2 linked regions of the Arabidopsis thaliana genome follow. The protein of the gene in region 2 interacts with the protein of the main gene of each other region in a biochemical or structural test. Each region holds a gene or a part of one and is shown on either strand. Other genes may lie near its edges.

Region 1 (8,866 bases), on a different chromosome or scaffold from region 2:
TTTTCAAAGTTACTAACTCATAAGATTATGTCACGTGTCAAATCTATCGATCAGATGTTGACATGTGTAAGAAAATAATTAACTTTTTTCTTCTCAAAGAAATAGAAATACTTAAAAAGAAATCAATTAACTTTTTTTTTCTTAAGGAAATAGAAAACTAAAAAATAAATCATTATTAACATATACTAATTCATATGTCTATATCTAAAAAATATTATATTTTATTTTTCTTAACCAAAAGGAAAATTAACAAAAAAACAATCTTATTATATAAAGTATGGTTTTCAAAGTTACTAACTCATAGGATTATGCCACGTGTCAAATCTATCGATCAGATGTTGATATGTGTAAGAAAACAATTAACTTTTTTCTTCTTAAAGAAATAGAAATACGTAAAAAGAAATCAATTAACTTTTTTCTTCTTAAAGAAATAGAAAACTAAAAAATAAATTATTATTAACATATACTAATTCATATGTCTATATCTAAAAAATATTATATTTTATTTTTCTTAACCAAAAGGAAAATTAACAAAAATATATATATATATATATATATGTTATTGGTCAAATTTTTAATATATATGGTATTAACAAATGTTTTATTATTATGAATTATGTTTTGTTAATTGTTAATAATTTTTAATATTAACTAAGATATAGATTTGATCTCATATATATATACTATTTTGACATGAAATCATTATCAAGTAAGATAAAGTGTGTAGAATTAAAATCGAGTTTTTTATGAAATAGATAGTTAAATTGTATTACAAAATTGAATGTATAAGATAAAAATTTATTTTTTCTTCTAAATACTAAATTATAATATAAAAAAAAGTGTGTAGGTTACTATTTATACTTCAAATATCATCAATAAGATTGAATGGGTATAACAAAATAAAATGTATAAGACTACTATTTTACTATTCAAAATTATATATCAAGAACAATGTATCGATTATTATTTTACTATTCAAAATTTAAATATTATCGATAAAAATTACATTTACATCTTACACCCGCCTATTTAGGCGGGCCTTATCTAGTATTATATATTTTTAATTTTAAGACCGTTTTATGCTTTGACTAATGTTTATAGGATGAAAGGCATGATATAAGAATGTCAATATATTGACCCCATAATAAATGGTCTAATATCGCTTTTTAGATGTTTGAAGCATATATTTTTTGCTCAAATTTAAACAGAAACCAAAATATTTAAATTTGATATTTTATTTATTTATTTCAAAATATTTAAAACCTTGTTAATTTTGATTTGTGTTTACGGTATTTAAAAACTAAACAAAAAAAAAAGTTTGATAAGAGCTTGATCAGTGACAGTACATGGAAATTAAATGCATATAATAAATAAGGCTTATAAGTTGAGGAGTCAAATATGGGCCTGATATTCAGAATAAAAAAGCCCATTAATTAGGTGAACATGCCCAAGTCAGAATAAAATCTGTTGTTACGTCAAGCAAATGGAAGCGGGAGATATATATTTGCTCCCTATTGGACAACTTCAACTCTTGGGCAATCGAAGCTTTGAATATGTTTTGTGGCTGGGCCCATTAACCCAAAATTAGAAATTAACATGTCGTGTGTCATGAGAACAGAGAATATAGGGTCAGTTGTGATGGCATGGACATGGTTAATGCAGGGTGCACAGGGATTTAACATTACATATAAAACCATATTGGTTACGTCTATCATTAGTTTGGGCTAAACCATACATATTTGTTATTCTTTTCTTTCTTTGGGTGTCAAATACTCATTTATAATAAACACCACGTACACACACACACACACACACAAAATTGGTAAGTGTACAGTTTTTATAGGAAAAGAAGACAATTTCTATACCTACCTAACAATGGATAAACAATTCCATCGAATTGAGAAACGATGGTCACATCTTGATTCACAATACATTCAACTTGAAATTAAAGTTGAAGAGTGATAGTTGTCCTTATAATATCTGTATATTGAACAAAACATTGTTACTAAGAATTTGTGTTAATCATAACCAAAAAAGAAGAAGTTAGAAGTAGATTTTTTTTTTTTTGAAAAAAACATTAAAACAATTCTACTCGAGGGAGTAGGGGATCATGAATGTAAGTGTTTTTTTTTTTTTTTTTTTACATGTGAAACATAATAATGGGAAGTGGTGAGTTGTTGCTTGGGAATGAAACAAAGGTAGAGTCTTGAGATCGTTTGGTAGGCATGTTTTTTTTTTATCCTCAAATGATCATATCAGTCATTATCCCTCTTTTTTTTGCCTCTCTATTAATTTAATCTCCCCTAATTTAGTGAGTGATAATAAAGGAGTTTTTTTTTTTTTTTTAGTGAGTGATAATAAAGGAGTTAGTTTCCATCAAACTAGTTGTATGATTCACAGATAAAAACCAACAAAATAAATAAAAAAATTCGTACGAACAAATTGAAAAGAGGAGTGAAGGTAAGTAAGTCAACGGGAAGGTTGTGAGATGGAGTGAGCACCGTTTACGCTACTTCTCCACTGTGTGCATTCAATGAAGTGATTCTACTGAAAATCTTATATAAACTATACATGCATGATGCATTGAGATGCATATGTTTTTATAATTGACATAAGATTAGTAAACACATGCGTGAGTGGTACGACTAATCTAAGAGTAGTAGTGCTTGAGGTGTGGAAGCTCTCTCTCTCTACACCTTCTTCTTCATAGATGGATCGTCTAAAATCACTTAAGTAATTATCTGTATAATAAAAGAAAGGAAATGATGGCGTAGCAATGCATGCTAAGGGACAAGAAAGGCTTCGGGGGAGAGATCACTTCTCTTCTACTCCATCCTCTTTGTCTCTGCTGCTTCAAATCTCTCATCTACATGATCAGATCATTTAAGCGTGATAGACTCTTTTTTTATTTTTTTATTATTACTTATATTTTTTTTTGAAAAAGTATTAAAGTAGTAATAAAAAGCGGGGAGAGGAGAAGATTGTCTCCTAGAGCGACTTGAATCCTTGAGCTTTCAAACTCATCTCCCGGAGCTTCCCTTTTCTCTTTACTCTCTCTCTCTCTCTCTCTCTCTCTCACTTTTCTCTGTTTTTTTTCTTGGTGTCTGTCTTAATTCCACCATTAATGCTCTCTACCTTCCCTTTTACTCTTCCCCTGCTTTTGTGTTTTCTCTTTCTCTTTTCTAAACCCTTTCAAACTCTTCTTCCTCTTCTTTCTTTTTCTCCAATAACAGTTTCTTGTGCTCATGTTAAAACTGCAGCTCTTTTCCGGTAAAAAGAAAAGCTTTTTGGTCAGTTTAGTTATCCTCAAGCATCAAAACCTTACTTGAGCTCTGCATCATCATCCATGGCCATGGCCGACTAGCCTTCTTTCTTCGCTTTTTACCTCCTTAATATCTTTAAAAGCGAGAGGAAATGTTCAACGGCGCCGTTTCACTACTCTTCCTCTTCCTTGCCGTCGTTTCAGCGAGGGCAGATCCGACATTCAACGACGACGTTTTGGGTCTCATCGTTTTCAAGGCCGGACTCGACGACCCTCTCTCTAAGCTCTCTTCTTGGAACTCGGAAGACTACGATCCCTGCAACTGGGTCGGTTGCACATGCGACCCTGCCACCAATCGGGTCTCGGAGCTCCGCCTTGACGCCTTCTCTCTCTCCGGTCACATCGGCCGTGGCCTTCTCCGTCTCCAGTTCCTCCACACCTTGGTCCTCTCCAACAACAACCTCACCGGAACCCTAAACCCCGAGTTCCCTCACCTCGGCAGCCTCCAAGTCGTCGATTTCAGTGGCAATAATCTCTCGGGTCGGATCCCAGACGGGTTCTTCGAGCAATGCGGGTCCTTGAGGTCCGTTTCCTTGGCTAACAACAAACTCACAGGTTCTATTCCTGTCTCCCTCAGCTACTGTTCTACTCTCACCCATCTTAACCTCTCAAGCAATCAACTCTCTGGGAGGTTGCCCCGAGATATCTGGTTCCTCAAGAGCTTAAAGTCCCTTGATTTCTCTCACAATTTCCTCCAAGGAGATATCCCCGATGGCCTCGGCGGTCTCTACGATCTCCGTCATATCAACTTATCCAGGAACTGGTTTTCCGGTGACGTTCCTTCCGACATCGGACGATGCTCTTCCCTTAAATCGCTTGACTTGAGTGAGAACTACTTCTCCGGGAATCTTCCGGATTCGATGAAAAGCCTGGGCTCTTGCAGCTCCATCCGTCTGCGAGGAAACTCTCTGATCGGAGAAATCCCTGATTGGATCGGCGACATTGCCACTCTCGAGATTCTTGATCTCTCCGCCAACAACTTCACCGGCACTGTCCCATTCTCCCTCGGAAATCTCGAGTTTTTGAAGGATCTCAATCTATCCGCAAACATGCTCGCTGGAGAGCTCCCACAGACTCTCTCCAACTGCTCCAACCTAATCTCCATTGATGTCAGCAAGAATTCATTCACCGGAGATGTGCTTAAGTGGATGTTCACCGGAAACTCTGAAAGTTCCTCGCTTTCCAGATTTAGCCTCCACAAAAGATCAGGGAACGACACCATTATGCCCATCGTTGGATTCCTCCAAGGTCTCCGGGTCCTCGATCTGTCTTCAAACGGCTTCACCGGTGAATTACCGTCTAACATTTGGATTCTCACAAGTTTGTTGCAGCTCAATATGTCCACCAACTCTCTCTTCGGTTCCATACCCACCGGCATTGGAGGATTGAAAGTCGCTGAGATTCTTGATCTTAGTAGTAATCTTCTCAACGGAACCCTTCCTTCTGAGATCGGAGGAGCCGTCTCCCTGAAACAACTTCATCTCCACAGAAACCGCCTCTCCGGCCAGATTCCGGCAAAGATCTCTAACTGTTCGGCTTTAAACACAATGTAAGTCAACTCAATCTGTTATCTTTCTGTTAATTCACTGTGTGTGTTTTATCGTCTCTCAGTATTAATGTAGCAGTAATATGCAGAAATCTATCGGAGAATGAACTATCCGGTGCGATTCCGGGGAGCATTGGCAGTCTGAGCAACCTTGAGTACATTGATCTGTCGAGAAACAATCTCTCGGGAAGTCTTCCCAAAGAAATAGAGAAACTTTCGCATCTCTTGACCTTTAACATCTCCCACAACAACATCACAGGGGAGCTGCCAGCTGGAGGTTTCTTCAACACCATCCCTCTCTCTGCTGTCACCGGAAACCCATCCCTTTGTGGCTCCGTCGTTAACCGCTCATGTCTCTCTGTCCACCCCAAACCAATCGTCCTCAACCCCAACTCCTCCAATCCAACAAATGGTCCTGCTCTCACAGGGCAGATCAGGAAGAGCGTTCTGAGCATATCTGCGCTCATTGCCATTGGCGCAGCTGCCGTCATTGCCATCGGGGTGGTGGCTGTAACTCTGCTCAACGTGCACGCCCGATCTAGTGTTTCACGTCACGATGCAGCTGCTGCTCTCGCTCTGTCGGTTGGAGAGACGTTCAGCTGTTCGCCAAGTAAAGATCAAGAGTTTGGAAAGCTGGTCATGTTCTCAGGGGAAGTGGACGTGTTTGACACCACTGGCGCTGATGCGTTGCTCAACAAGGACAGCGAGCTGGGACGAGGCGGGTTCGGTGTGGTGTACAAAACGAGTCTTCAGGATGGGCGTCCTGTGGCAGTTAAGAAACTGACAGTGTCGGGTCTAATAAAGTCGCAGGAGGAGTTCGAGAGAGAGATGAGAAAACTCGGGAAGCTGAGGCACAAGAATGTGGTGGAGATAAAAGGGTACTACTGGACGCAATCGCTGCAGCTCTTGATCCACGAGTTTGTTTCAGGCGGAAGCTTGTACAGACATCTCCACGGAGATGAGAGCGTTTGCCTAACTTGGCGTCAACGTTTCAGTATCATTCTAGGGATAGCAAGAGGTCTGGCTTTTCTGCATAGCAGTAACATCACTCACTACAACATGAAAGCAACGAATGTGCTCATTGACGCCGCAGGGGAGGCTAAAGTCTCTGACTTTGGGCTGGCCAGACTGTTGGCTTCGGCGCTGGACAGGTGCGTCTTGAGTGGCAAGGTACAGAGCGCGTTGGGGTACACAGCCCCGGAGTTTGCATGCCGGACAGTCAAGATAACCGACAGGTGCGATGTTTACGGGTTTGGGATCCTGGTGCTGGAGGTGGTGACAGGGAAGAGACCCGTGGAGTACGCTGAGGACGACGTCGTGGTCTTGTGTGAGACGGTGAGAGAAGGGTTAGAAGAAGGGAGGGTGGAGGAGTGCGTTGACCCTCGGTTGAGAGGGAATTTTCCAGCGGAGGAGGCAATACCGGTGATTAAACTAGGGTTGGTGTGTGGGTCCCAAGTGCCGTCGAATAGGCCGGAGATGGAGGAAGTGGTGAAGATATTAGAGCTCATACAATGTCCCTCTCATGACTTAGAGTGATTAGTCAACTACAGATGAATCAATCCTCCTTGTTTGTATTTCTTCATTCCTTGTTCAATTTTCATATTATCATAATATAGTGTTCGTCTTTTCTATAAAGAAGTTTTTCTCGTGAGTTCACAATGTTGTTAAGTTGTGAATCTTCACACTAGGTTTCACAATGTTGAAGGTTGGTTCATAAAGTAGATCCAAAAGATCAACTTCTGTTACACTAAAAAGATTGTTGGTCAAAGAACTCCCAATTATACATATAACTACAATGCAGCCTTTGTGTTAAGGTTTCTCGGTTTGCTATTTTGGACGTGTTATTTGAATCTCTGTTTAGTAAGCATGATGCAAAATAGAAAACAATATGATTCTGTACAAAAATTTGAAATGGCATAAAGTCAGTCAAGCGCACTAAGCATTACTCAGAGTCTCGCACTGTCACAAATTTTAATTTATGTTTCAAAATAATCATTACTCAGAGGCTTTTTGATTGTTCTTTTCCATAAAGCGAAAAAGAGAAGTCCACCATTGTGAAGTGAAAGTCACAAAGGGTCCAAGCATGAGCTTTTTCTGTAATGCTTTCATTATTGTATAGTTATGGAGTGTCCCACACACATACTCATTTCTCATTTTCATTACTCCCAAAACTTTTAAGTTTTACTTTTGTCAGCTAATGAGCATACACTCTCATTCATTTAAGCCATGCAATGCATATACATTACTCATCACACATGGTGGTCCGGAGAAACGTATCTCAAAATAAAGTTACTTCAGTGTAAATTACAGACGATTCAGATTTCAGGCACATTTCTCATTTTAATATCATTATTATGTCTTTGCTTTTCTCATGTCGTGTCTACTGTCTCCCCCTTTATACTCCTCGTTTACACACTAAAAAGCACATTACAATATTCCTTACCTTACAATTTAAACTCCATTACAACTTTTGTTGTTCCTCTTTTTTTGCTTCCACTGTTAAAAGCACCTTCGGCTACATTTCCACAAAAAAAAAGGCTTCGGTTTATATATTTTAATAAGAAAATGAATGTGGATATGGACTATTATGGAGCAACATCAACATTTTGGGCCGTCAATGCAAAGAAGATTCAAACAATTGTAATTTAGTAAGCGCTGGACGACTTTGCAAATCTTATATCACTGCTCTCCACTAAAATAGAGTCTTGTGACAATCTAAGTTGGGAGATAAAACAAGTCCATATTCCCACCTTTTCTGTTTAGCCGGCAATAAATGGGCCGAATTTGGTCCAATAAAACAATTATCAGAATATTTGGGCCTGGTAGCCTAAAGAAATGTGACGCTTTGGCCCAATCACTTCTTTCACCAACAATCACAGAGGTCAGATGGGAATGTTGAAAGAGGGACAAAGAAGAAGAAATCGTTGCTTTTATTTAATACCAAACAATTCATAACAATCTAATTCGCTGCTCAGCTTGTTGATCCATGGGACTAGAAAATTGATGACGACGATGATGAGAGTAACCACAACACCAACGCCTTTTGCTTTCTTTGCCACTACCACCGCTCGATTCCTAACCAATTTGATGAGTTTCTTCTTCGTATCCACTTCCCTCTGTTTTCGTCCACGGAAGAGAGCAAAAAGACTCCGTCGGAATCTGACCCAATCGGACGGTTTGGATTTGAGATGATGATGATGCTTTCGGAATCTTAAGAGGATTGACCATCGATGAAGCGAGAGCTTGTTCCGTATATTGAGCTTCAAACTGAAACCTTTGGCTCTCACACATACTTTAAGCTTCCACACCACCCCCACTCCCAACCTCCTCCTCTGCTCTTCTTCTTCTTCTTCACTCATCACTCATCACTCATTCACTCTCACTTGTCAATTAGGGCAGCGTCATACATAACCTAAGCAAAACAAAAACCAAGATGGGCTTTTCCACTAACATAAATTGAAATTAGGCCCAATTATATTCGGCCTCAATCCTGATGTTGTTGTGTTCTACATAAATAAATGCTGCTAAAACATACGCACTGAATAAATCTCTGATTACTACAAGTACAACTGAAGACTAAAGAAAATAATCTATCTATCTACCCATATTATTAATTTAATTATGACGATAATGATAAACTCATTAAACTCTAATTATGATTACTACTACTGCCAACCTAACCCTCGCGACGATAATTAAATCACTCAGACCCCGCCACGTGGACCTCGATGAGTGAATGCCGACAATTGGGACATGAAGAGTGAGAGACAAGCCACGTGTCGATGCATGACATGTGGAAACTGTGATTACACGGCGGCAGTACTCGCACTCTCTCGCCGTCCGCGAATTCCCCCAGACAGATTGCGCACTCCGTCGCCGCTATCTTCACTTCCCCCGACCCGTACTCAGCTACTGGAAACTTCTTCAGTTCTCTCTTCTTTAATCCAGCTCTGTCGGCCACCGTCCCCGCCGCCGCAGAGGATGATAACCCGAAACCG
Region 2 (7,966 bases):
CTAGAGAGATTGGAGAAACAAGACATACCACAAAAACATTTCTCTCTAGTAACAAAAACATCACTCTACTCTACTCTTGTGGTTTGGGTCTGGATTTTAGTCCGGTTAGTGGTACAATGGTTTATATTGGTTTATTAGAAATATATAGTTTACGCTACATTAAGAAAAGTACTCTAATTTGTCATCTGAAGATTTACATAAAAAAGATTACATGTCATCGTTGTATGTTAACTAACACTAATCTCCCGGTTAAAGTGTAGATTGCCCTAAACGGTTTAATTCCGGTTAGGAACAAACCAACCACTCGCTCGGTCGTCCAAAGGGCAAAGCGAATCCAACTTTACAGATATGTCAGAGAGGAGCCAAGCTTCTAGAAGATCATTCATTCATCACTTATACGATCTCTTCCCAAATTATTGATTTTTTTTACCCATTTCTCTCATCGCACGGTGATATTGAGAATCGCCGACCTGAATCGATCGGAAAACTTTCTCTGATTACCGGCGGTCAACACCGCTGAACACATATGTTTGTTTGACGACCTCTTCTCTCCGCGATCTTTACCTCAACAACGAGATCTGTTTCCACGGTACCATTTTCATCCGATCTCTGTTCTTCTATGTTTGTTTACTGGATCCGTTGATTTTACTTTCATCTTATCATTTGTGTGTGGCTATTTTGGTGAATTGATGCGATCTTAAGCTGTTTCTAGGTTCAAGCCTTATATGTTTCTTCTAAGCTAATCATAGGTCGTAGACTTGTTAGGAAGATTCGAATCTAGTACAAAGTTAGCAACTTTAGCATACGTAAATCGTTAGTAGTAATTTCTAGATTGATAGAGGTTCGAGACCTTAAAAGGTGATGAATATTTGGTGGGTTTTGTTTATTAGAAAGAAAGGAGGATGTCGACGCCAGCAAGGAAGAGGTTAATGAGGGATTTCAAGAGGTTGCAGCAAGACCCACCTGCGGGTATTAGTGGTGCTCCACAGGACAACAACATTATGCTCTGGAATGCTGTCATATTTGGGTAATGGGAACAAGTACCTTTAGATACTGGCTAAATATTTCTGAAACTTTTGTCATTTCTGTACTTACTTAGACCTTTTTGTTTCTAAATTTGTAGGCCTGATGACACACCATGGGATGGAGGTATGGTTATGATATGTTATTGCATTTTGACAAGAAGCATAAATTTTTGGGATCGTTGTAGTGGTGTTCTTATGTCTCTTTCTTGATGCTGTTCAGGTACTTTCAAACTCTCACTGCAGTTCTCTGAAGATTATCCCAATAAACCACCAACAGTTCGGTTTGTGTCACGGATGTTTCATCCTAATAGTAAGTTATAGAGATACAACATTGGATTTTCTATCCACCTGGTTGATGTTCAGCTTTTGCCTCCAATTAACGTTCTTCTGCTCTATTCGTTGTGTAGTTTATGCAGATGGGAGTATCTGCTTGGACATTCTACAAAACCAGTGGAGTCCAATCTATGATGTTGCTGCTATACTTACCTCCATCCAGGTGAATTCAAAATGCCATATGAACATCTCTTGATGCCCTTAAAAGCTTGAATTGCTTTCTTCTTCTCTAATCCGTTTTTCCCTTTGTTATTGCAGTCCTTGCTCTGTGACCCTAATCCGAATTCTCCTGCAAACTCGGAAGCTGCTCGGATGTACAGCGAAAGCAAGCGCGAGTACAACAGGAGAGTGCGTGATGTTGTTGAGCAAAGCTGGACTGCTGACTAGTAGTAGTTTGTTGTAAGCGTTGTAGCTCTCTCTACTTTCTCTCAATCACGATTCAGCAACAGCTTTCTTCTCTTTTCATTCATGTCTTGTGTTTCCAAAACTATTTAAGTGATTCCATGCTTTGATGTAACCCAACATCCTTAAAAAAACAACTTTGTACCAAACCATCTGAATTATTCACTTTTGTGTATATATGTATTACGATTTACTTGCTAGCTACAAAAAACAACTTTGTACCCAAATTCCACAAAGTTGCGATATTTTATTTAAGGGTTTGTGGCCTTATCCTTCTGTTACACCCTTTCATTGCCTTAACAATTGCATTGCTTTCTTTGTGACGCTAATCCAATTTCTACACCAAAATCTGAAGCTTCACATGAGACTCGTAAGTACCTTAAGTATTAGTAGGTTCAACTTTATGTATTCTCATATAGGCCTTGAATTTGACATTGATCAGTTTCTCTATGTTCTTCAAGGATGGTGATTTTATATTTCTCTTCTATAGTTCTGAACCACCAAGCCCGAGGTTCTCACTGCTTGTCCATCCTTGTTGCACTTGAATTGTGTACTGCAGATTCCATACAACATCCTCTATCGATGGCCGCTTCCTCTGATCTTCACAAAGACAGTTAATGGCAAACTCTACTGTGGTTCTCAATGACTCGTATGCATATGTTCCTCTCACACACGGATCTGCCAAGCTACGCAACACCGATGGTTCGTCTCTCAAACTGTTCTCCAGCTGAAGCTTCAAGCTCCCCAACTCTGAAGATGCAGCTGCTATTACTTTGCCTGTGATGATCTGAATTAGTATCACTCCAAACTGGTACACATCTTCTTTCTCTCCATCTTCATTACTAGGGCTCTCCGCTCCAACCTGAAATTCCCCCAGAAGGTTATATATTTCATGAGAGGTTAAACTGAAGATTAGAAGCTATATCCTGATTATATTATATCTGGTTTGTTTATATACCTTGGATGGTAAAGGAATACTATAACCACTGAGTTTTACAGTGAGTGTTTCATCAAGTAAAACATTCTCTATTTCCAAATTGTTCCCAAATATTCCTGGTGCCACTCCTGTGTGCAAGAACTGTATTCCTCGAGCAACTCCAATCGCTATCGACATTCTCTGAGGCCATTTCAACACCTCTTTCTTTCTCCAATCTGCCAAAAACATTTCCAAATAATTAGTTTCCCAACAAAAATATAAGTTCTTGAAATCGATAATCTTTTTCAAGTATTACCGGTGAGGTAATCCCTCAAAGACCCGTTAGAGATATATTCTTGGACAATGAAAATAGTGCTTCCGGCATAAGGATGATGATCTTGATAAGTACCAATGCAGTGTCCAAGAACACTGACCAAATGCATATGCCTTAGCTTTGATAAAACTTCCATTTGTTGAGCTAAATTCTGTGTTGAATTCTTCTGTTTCAGCTTAATACACCTCACTGTCACTGCTATGCCTTCTCTAAGACAACCTTTGTACAGCTGTTTTGAAATTAGATATATCGATTAGTTAGACACTCGGATCAATTTTAAATCATGTCTTATTTACATTTTCCTTTACCTGTTCTCCACAGAGATTCTCTGCATCAAAATTGTTGGTTGCTTCTTCCAGTTCCTCCAAAGAGAAAACTCGGTATGGTGATAGTCCAATCACCGCGGATCTCATGGTTTGCGGTACACGTCCTGCATTTGAAAAAATCAAGCTAGTTAGGTTAATGGGTGTGAAAACTTGATTCAAGATTTCAAAGTAATAGCCTACTTAGATCTGGTACTGTCTTTGATGTGGTGGACCTGGTGGTGTTGCTGCAAACAGTGACCTGATCGACGTTGTTTGCTTCCAAAGGCTCTTCTTTTGATCTTGATTTTCTCATCCTAACCAAAACCAAGCCAGCTAAAACCGCTGAAACGAGGATCACACCGATGATAATGCCAATCACCAATCCAAGTTCGATTCCTGTATCTTCTTCTTTCCTTTCTTTATCTTTAGTGTCAGACTTCACAGCAGCTACTGCTTGCTTTGCTTCGTTTTCACAGAAGGTAACTGGACGCTGATACTTTGCAGAAGGAGAACCATTTATAGACAAGCAATTGAATGTGAAGAGCAGTACTGTCTGTTTCTTGGAAGAGAAGCAAGATGGAAGCTTCCCAGTCAGAAGATTCCGAGAAACATCTAAAATTCTAAGCTTGGAGTTGCACAACGATGAATTTGGAAGTGATCCACTCAGCAAGTTTTGTGCTAAACTTAGATTCTGAAGCGAAGGAAGCGAAAGCAGGAATCTTGGGATTGAGCCAGTGAACTTGTTGGAGGAAAGATCTAAGCTCTGAAGCTTATTCAGCTTCTTGATCTGTTCTGGAATCTTTGATCCAAAAGAGTTGTTCTTCAATGAAATAGTAATCAAGTTACTTGCAAGTGAAGGAACAACTTCAGGACCGAGTTTATTACCGCCTAAATTCAGCTCTTGAAGATTCGACAATCCTCTGAGATCAGGAACACTTCCGTTAAACAAATTGTTCGCTAGAACAAGACTTCTCAGATTCTTCAACGACGAGATCTCTTTAGGAATATTCCCAGAGATGAAATTAGAACTGAGATTCAGAGATTGAAGAGATGAAGATAACCTGATGATCTGTGAAGGGAGAGGACCAGAGATGCCAAGAGAGACCAGAGACAATGTCTTTAAGTTTGAGAGTTTTGTAAGAACAGTGAATAGTGAGTCGCTTGAGAATCTTCCGGGGAGCTTAACGGTTCTGTTCCCCGTGACGGTTAATTCAGTTACATGACCATTGAAACAGAGGATTTTGAAAGAAGGAGAAGAAGGGAGGTAGCAGAAATTGGTCCAGTTGCTCCATGATCGAAGAGTTGGTGGATATTGTAAATGCTTTTGGATTTCTAATAGAGTTCTTGATTCACTTGATATTAGCTGTGATTCTGAGACTGATGGCAGAAGAAAAAGAAAGAGAAGAAAAGTGAGAGAAAAGGCCTGGCTTTTAGAGGAACTATGCATTCTCTCAGGAAGAATTACAGAGAAATTAGAAAGAAAGATGTTATTGTGGCTTAAGGAACAGAAGGTCTTTCTGTTATTGTAGCCGAGATTAGTGTTAGTATTTGTTTAGTAGTCTAAAAAAATGGTGTTTTGTACATAAATTCTAGAGATTTTTTTAGATCGGAAGCAGATTTTCTAGGGAAATTGGGAGATAAAAAAATGAAACAATGTTTTTGGGACAGAGCAAGAAACAAAATTAAGTGGAGAGAAGTTCTGCTGAGAAGAAGACAATAAATACAAATTTTGTTTAATTTTTGTTTCTTATGTTGATTGTTCATAAGTTTCACATTGACAGACTGTTTTACTGCTTCGAAGAAAGTGAATGAAATTTTTTAAAAGCATAAAATGAATTAGATCCTTAAAATACGTAAAATCCACATGAAATATCTGACTATTTATCTACTTTTGATCTAAAATTTCCACAATTTAGAGTTATTTATTTACTTCAACTGGTTCTTAATTAATTTCTCTGTTATGGTCAGAAGACCTTTCTTTATTACTCATATAACATGCATTTATTTGATACATAATACATGCATAAACATACAAATACATACATGTTTGACGAATAAATGTTGTGTAGTAGTACTTCTCTCGAAATCCGTTGATCTCTTCCCCAAGGTAAATTCTTTCATCTTTACCAATTTTTTAAAAAATATAAATGAATAAACTTACGAATAAATGTTTGTAGTTTCTTTTATAACATTTTAACTCCTGTAATATCAATACTACTTGTAAAATAACAAAAAATACATACTTAATTAATGAGCAACGTTGCATTAATTGTTAATGCATAGAGATTTGATAGATATATAGCGACCAGACAGTATGTAATAAAAGTCAACCAGACCAGTGAACGAGTTTTTTTACACGTGCTCTTTCGTCAATGTAAATATGTAATGATCAGATCGTGCCGTTAAGGATCATCCAAAGCCACCGTCGCAAGGAAAATCTAACCCCGTTCGTTGGATTAAAAGCTCAAATAAAGAATTACATGTCCTAACCAAATCTTTTTCTCGAACTACACTTTTAACCACTTGTTGTTTTTCTCGAAACCAGAAGGACACCAAATGATCATCTATATACAGTAAACCAACAAATGATATAAATCGTACTTCTTTTTTCTCGTGGTCATCAATCAACAATTCAATATCAAACTGTTACAAAAAATACCAATCTCAAACTAATAATACTACCAATTAGTTCGGCCATGATATATTTTCATCACTATTGTCGGTGAGAAATGAGTGTCATTTTGTTTTCGTGTGTTTGGAAAGTGTTGAGATTCTAACAAATGTTCAGCTGTTTTCTTTTTGGTGTGTGAATTGTGATGAACTGTCCATTACTTTCTCTTTTGTTCCTTTATTCTTTTTACATCGATCTCTCATTGTTCTTTACTTCTTTTTAAGTGGCCTGACGTGCGATCCTAATAAAAAGAAGGTTGGTTATATACAATTTTTGACAAAAACCAAAAAAGTTTTGTTGTATAAGAGGAATTATAGAAACCATGCATCACCAACACCAAGTAGTAAAAAGTTTCATCCCAAAACAAGTGACCGTCATCGTAGTAAGTTAAAAAAATGGCTGAAAACAAAAGTTTTCAAGTTCAAAATACAAGGTTTTATCAGAAGCACTCAAAACCAATATTTTGTCACAGCTTCCAAGTTTCCAAGTAATCATGATGAAAAAATATACTATTTTCTAAAAACAAAAAGGTAAGGGAAGATAAAATGCGAGTTTGCAAGCACATCACATGCAACTGCCTTTGTAATAAGCGACACTGCCAAAGTATCAATTAATATTATACAACATGCATTTCTTTTCAATTTTATATGCAGCTTTATTATTAAAATCCTTTGTCAGATAACTTACAAACTGTTATTTTTTGGGCTTATAGGCTTATTAAAGGTTAGAATTTAAACCCATATATGTATCCAACTAATTTAAGGCCCAAAATATGCATCTTTAGGTCCATATAAATTAGGCATGTTCAAAATAAATTACCCAAATTATATAGCATATAGTTGAATAAATTCAGAAAAAAAAAAATATCATAAAGTTTACACTGTAGTTTAGTTGTGACATAAAATTTGCTAATGTAAAGTTATCCACAAAAAAAATTCAAACATTTTAAGATATTCATTTCTTAAAACCAGGATTCAACTTCGAACAGAATCAAATCTAAACTTTATTATAGTGATAATTTAATCATGTTTCTTTCACATTCGTTTATGAAACGTCAAAAAATATCTAGTTAGAATACAATACATTCCTATCATGAGCTGGTTAGTGGTTACGATTTAAATAATTGATTAGGAATACTAGATTAGATGTTTGGATTAAGCGAACTAACCACTTGGATAATGACACCCATCATTCTTGATTGTTAGTATTGTTTTAGAAAAAAGGTTATCACTTATCATCAATGTCATGATCATGATCCAAGAAAAAGGAGGGTATTTCTGTAAATAACTCCCTTTGACTCCTTTAATTGGGCCCAGAAAGGCCTAGTTTTAGACTTTGCCTACACATCATTCCAAACGACGTCGCTTTGAACCGAAATTTCTTTTGTTTTTGTCTATTCCTTAATTAATTTTTTCTTTCTAATTAAAAGTGGTAATATCTGTCATCTTCTTCTTTCGCTATCAGTGGAACCGTTGGGGAAGACTATTTGTTCACAGTGAGCTACCACTATGCCTTTAAGCCTTTTAGGTCATTGATCTTGTTTCCGACTTTTAGAAGGAAGGACAACATTCGAAGAACAACCACAGTAAGTTTGGTACTACTACTCATCAATTCAATTCTCTGAGGTTGACGTTTTAATTTCCTTTTTCACCATTTTTGCTAAAATTGTCTGCTTTTGATTTATACCCAGATCTGATTAATCTCTGATCGTTAGATTTATCTTTATATCACTTCCTCAGCTCTGAATTTGATAGAAAGGTTTGATTTTTACTTTGGTATCTTGCTCAATTGGAACTTTTTTTCTTTTTCTTTCTCAATTGGAACTTTACCAGCTTAATTTTTGGATATTGGTTTATCTGCTGGATCTTCATGATTTTGGTTTGCTGTCTTCAAGATCTCTGCTTTTGTTCACTTCATTTAATGCCATCTGTTTTATTTCTGGCTTCCGTTACTTTTTTTATTTTATGCCTTGATTCATGC

The links. The genes of interacting proteins can lie anywhere in the genome.
Region 1: the proteins of AT1G14390 (region 2) and AT5G01890 form a complex in vitro, tested with the Arabidopsis thaliana proteins (one large-scale study listed by BioGRID).

The regions. Positions count from the first base shown.
Region 1 is NC_003076.8:339,199-348,064, reverse strand, and holds AT5G01890 (Leucine-rich receptor-like protein kinase family protein), read left to right. Parts: upstream 1-2,607; 5' UTR 2,608-3,414; coding exon 3,415-4,871; intron 4,872-4,957; coding exon 4,958-6,404; 3' UTR 6,405-6,689; downstream 6,690-8,866. Other genes in the region: AT5G01895 (uncharacterized protein), read right to left, coding at 4,155-4,700; AT5G01881 (uncharacterized protein), read right to left, coding at 7,799-8,227; AT5G01880 (RING/U-box superfamily protein), read right to left, coding at 8,569-8,866. UniProt on the Arabidopsis thaliana protein: Leucine-rich repeat receptor-like protein kinase that may play a role in vascular tissues development.
Region 2 is NC_003070.9:4,921,073-4,929,038, reverse strand, and holds AT1G14390 (Leucine-rich repeat protein kinase family protein), read right to left. Parts: upstream 5,003-7,966; 5' UTR 4,763-5,002; coding exon 3,517-4,762; intron 3,441-3,516; coding exon 3,319-3,440; intron 3,240-3,318; coding exon 2,993-3,239; intron 2,913-2,992; coding exon 2,719-2,912; intron 2,623-2,718; coding exon 2,245-2,622; 3' UTR 2,125-2,244; downstream 1-2,124. Other genes in the region: UBC1 (ubiquitin carrier protein 1), read left to right, coding at 903-1,027, 1,124-1,149, 1,246-1,335, 1,433-1,521, 1,617-1,745.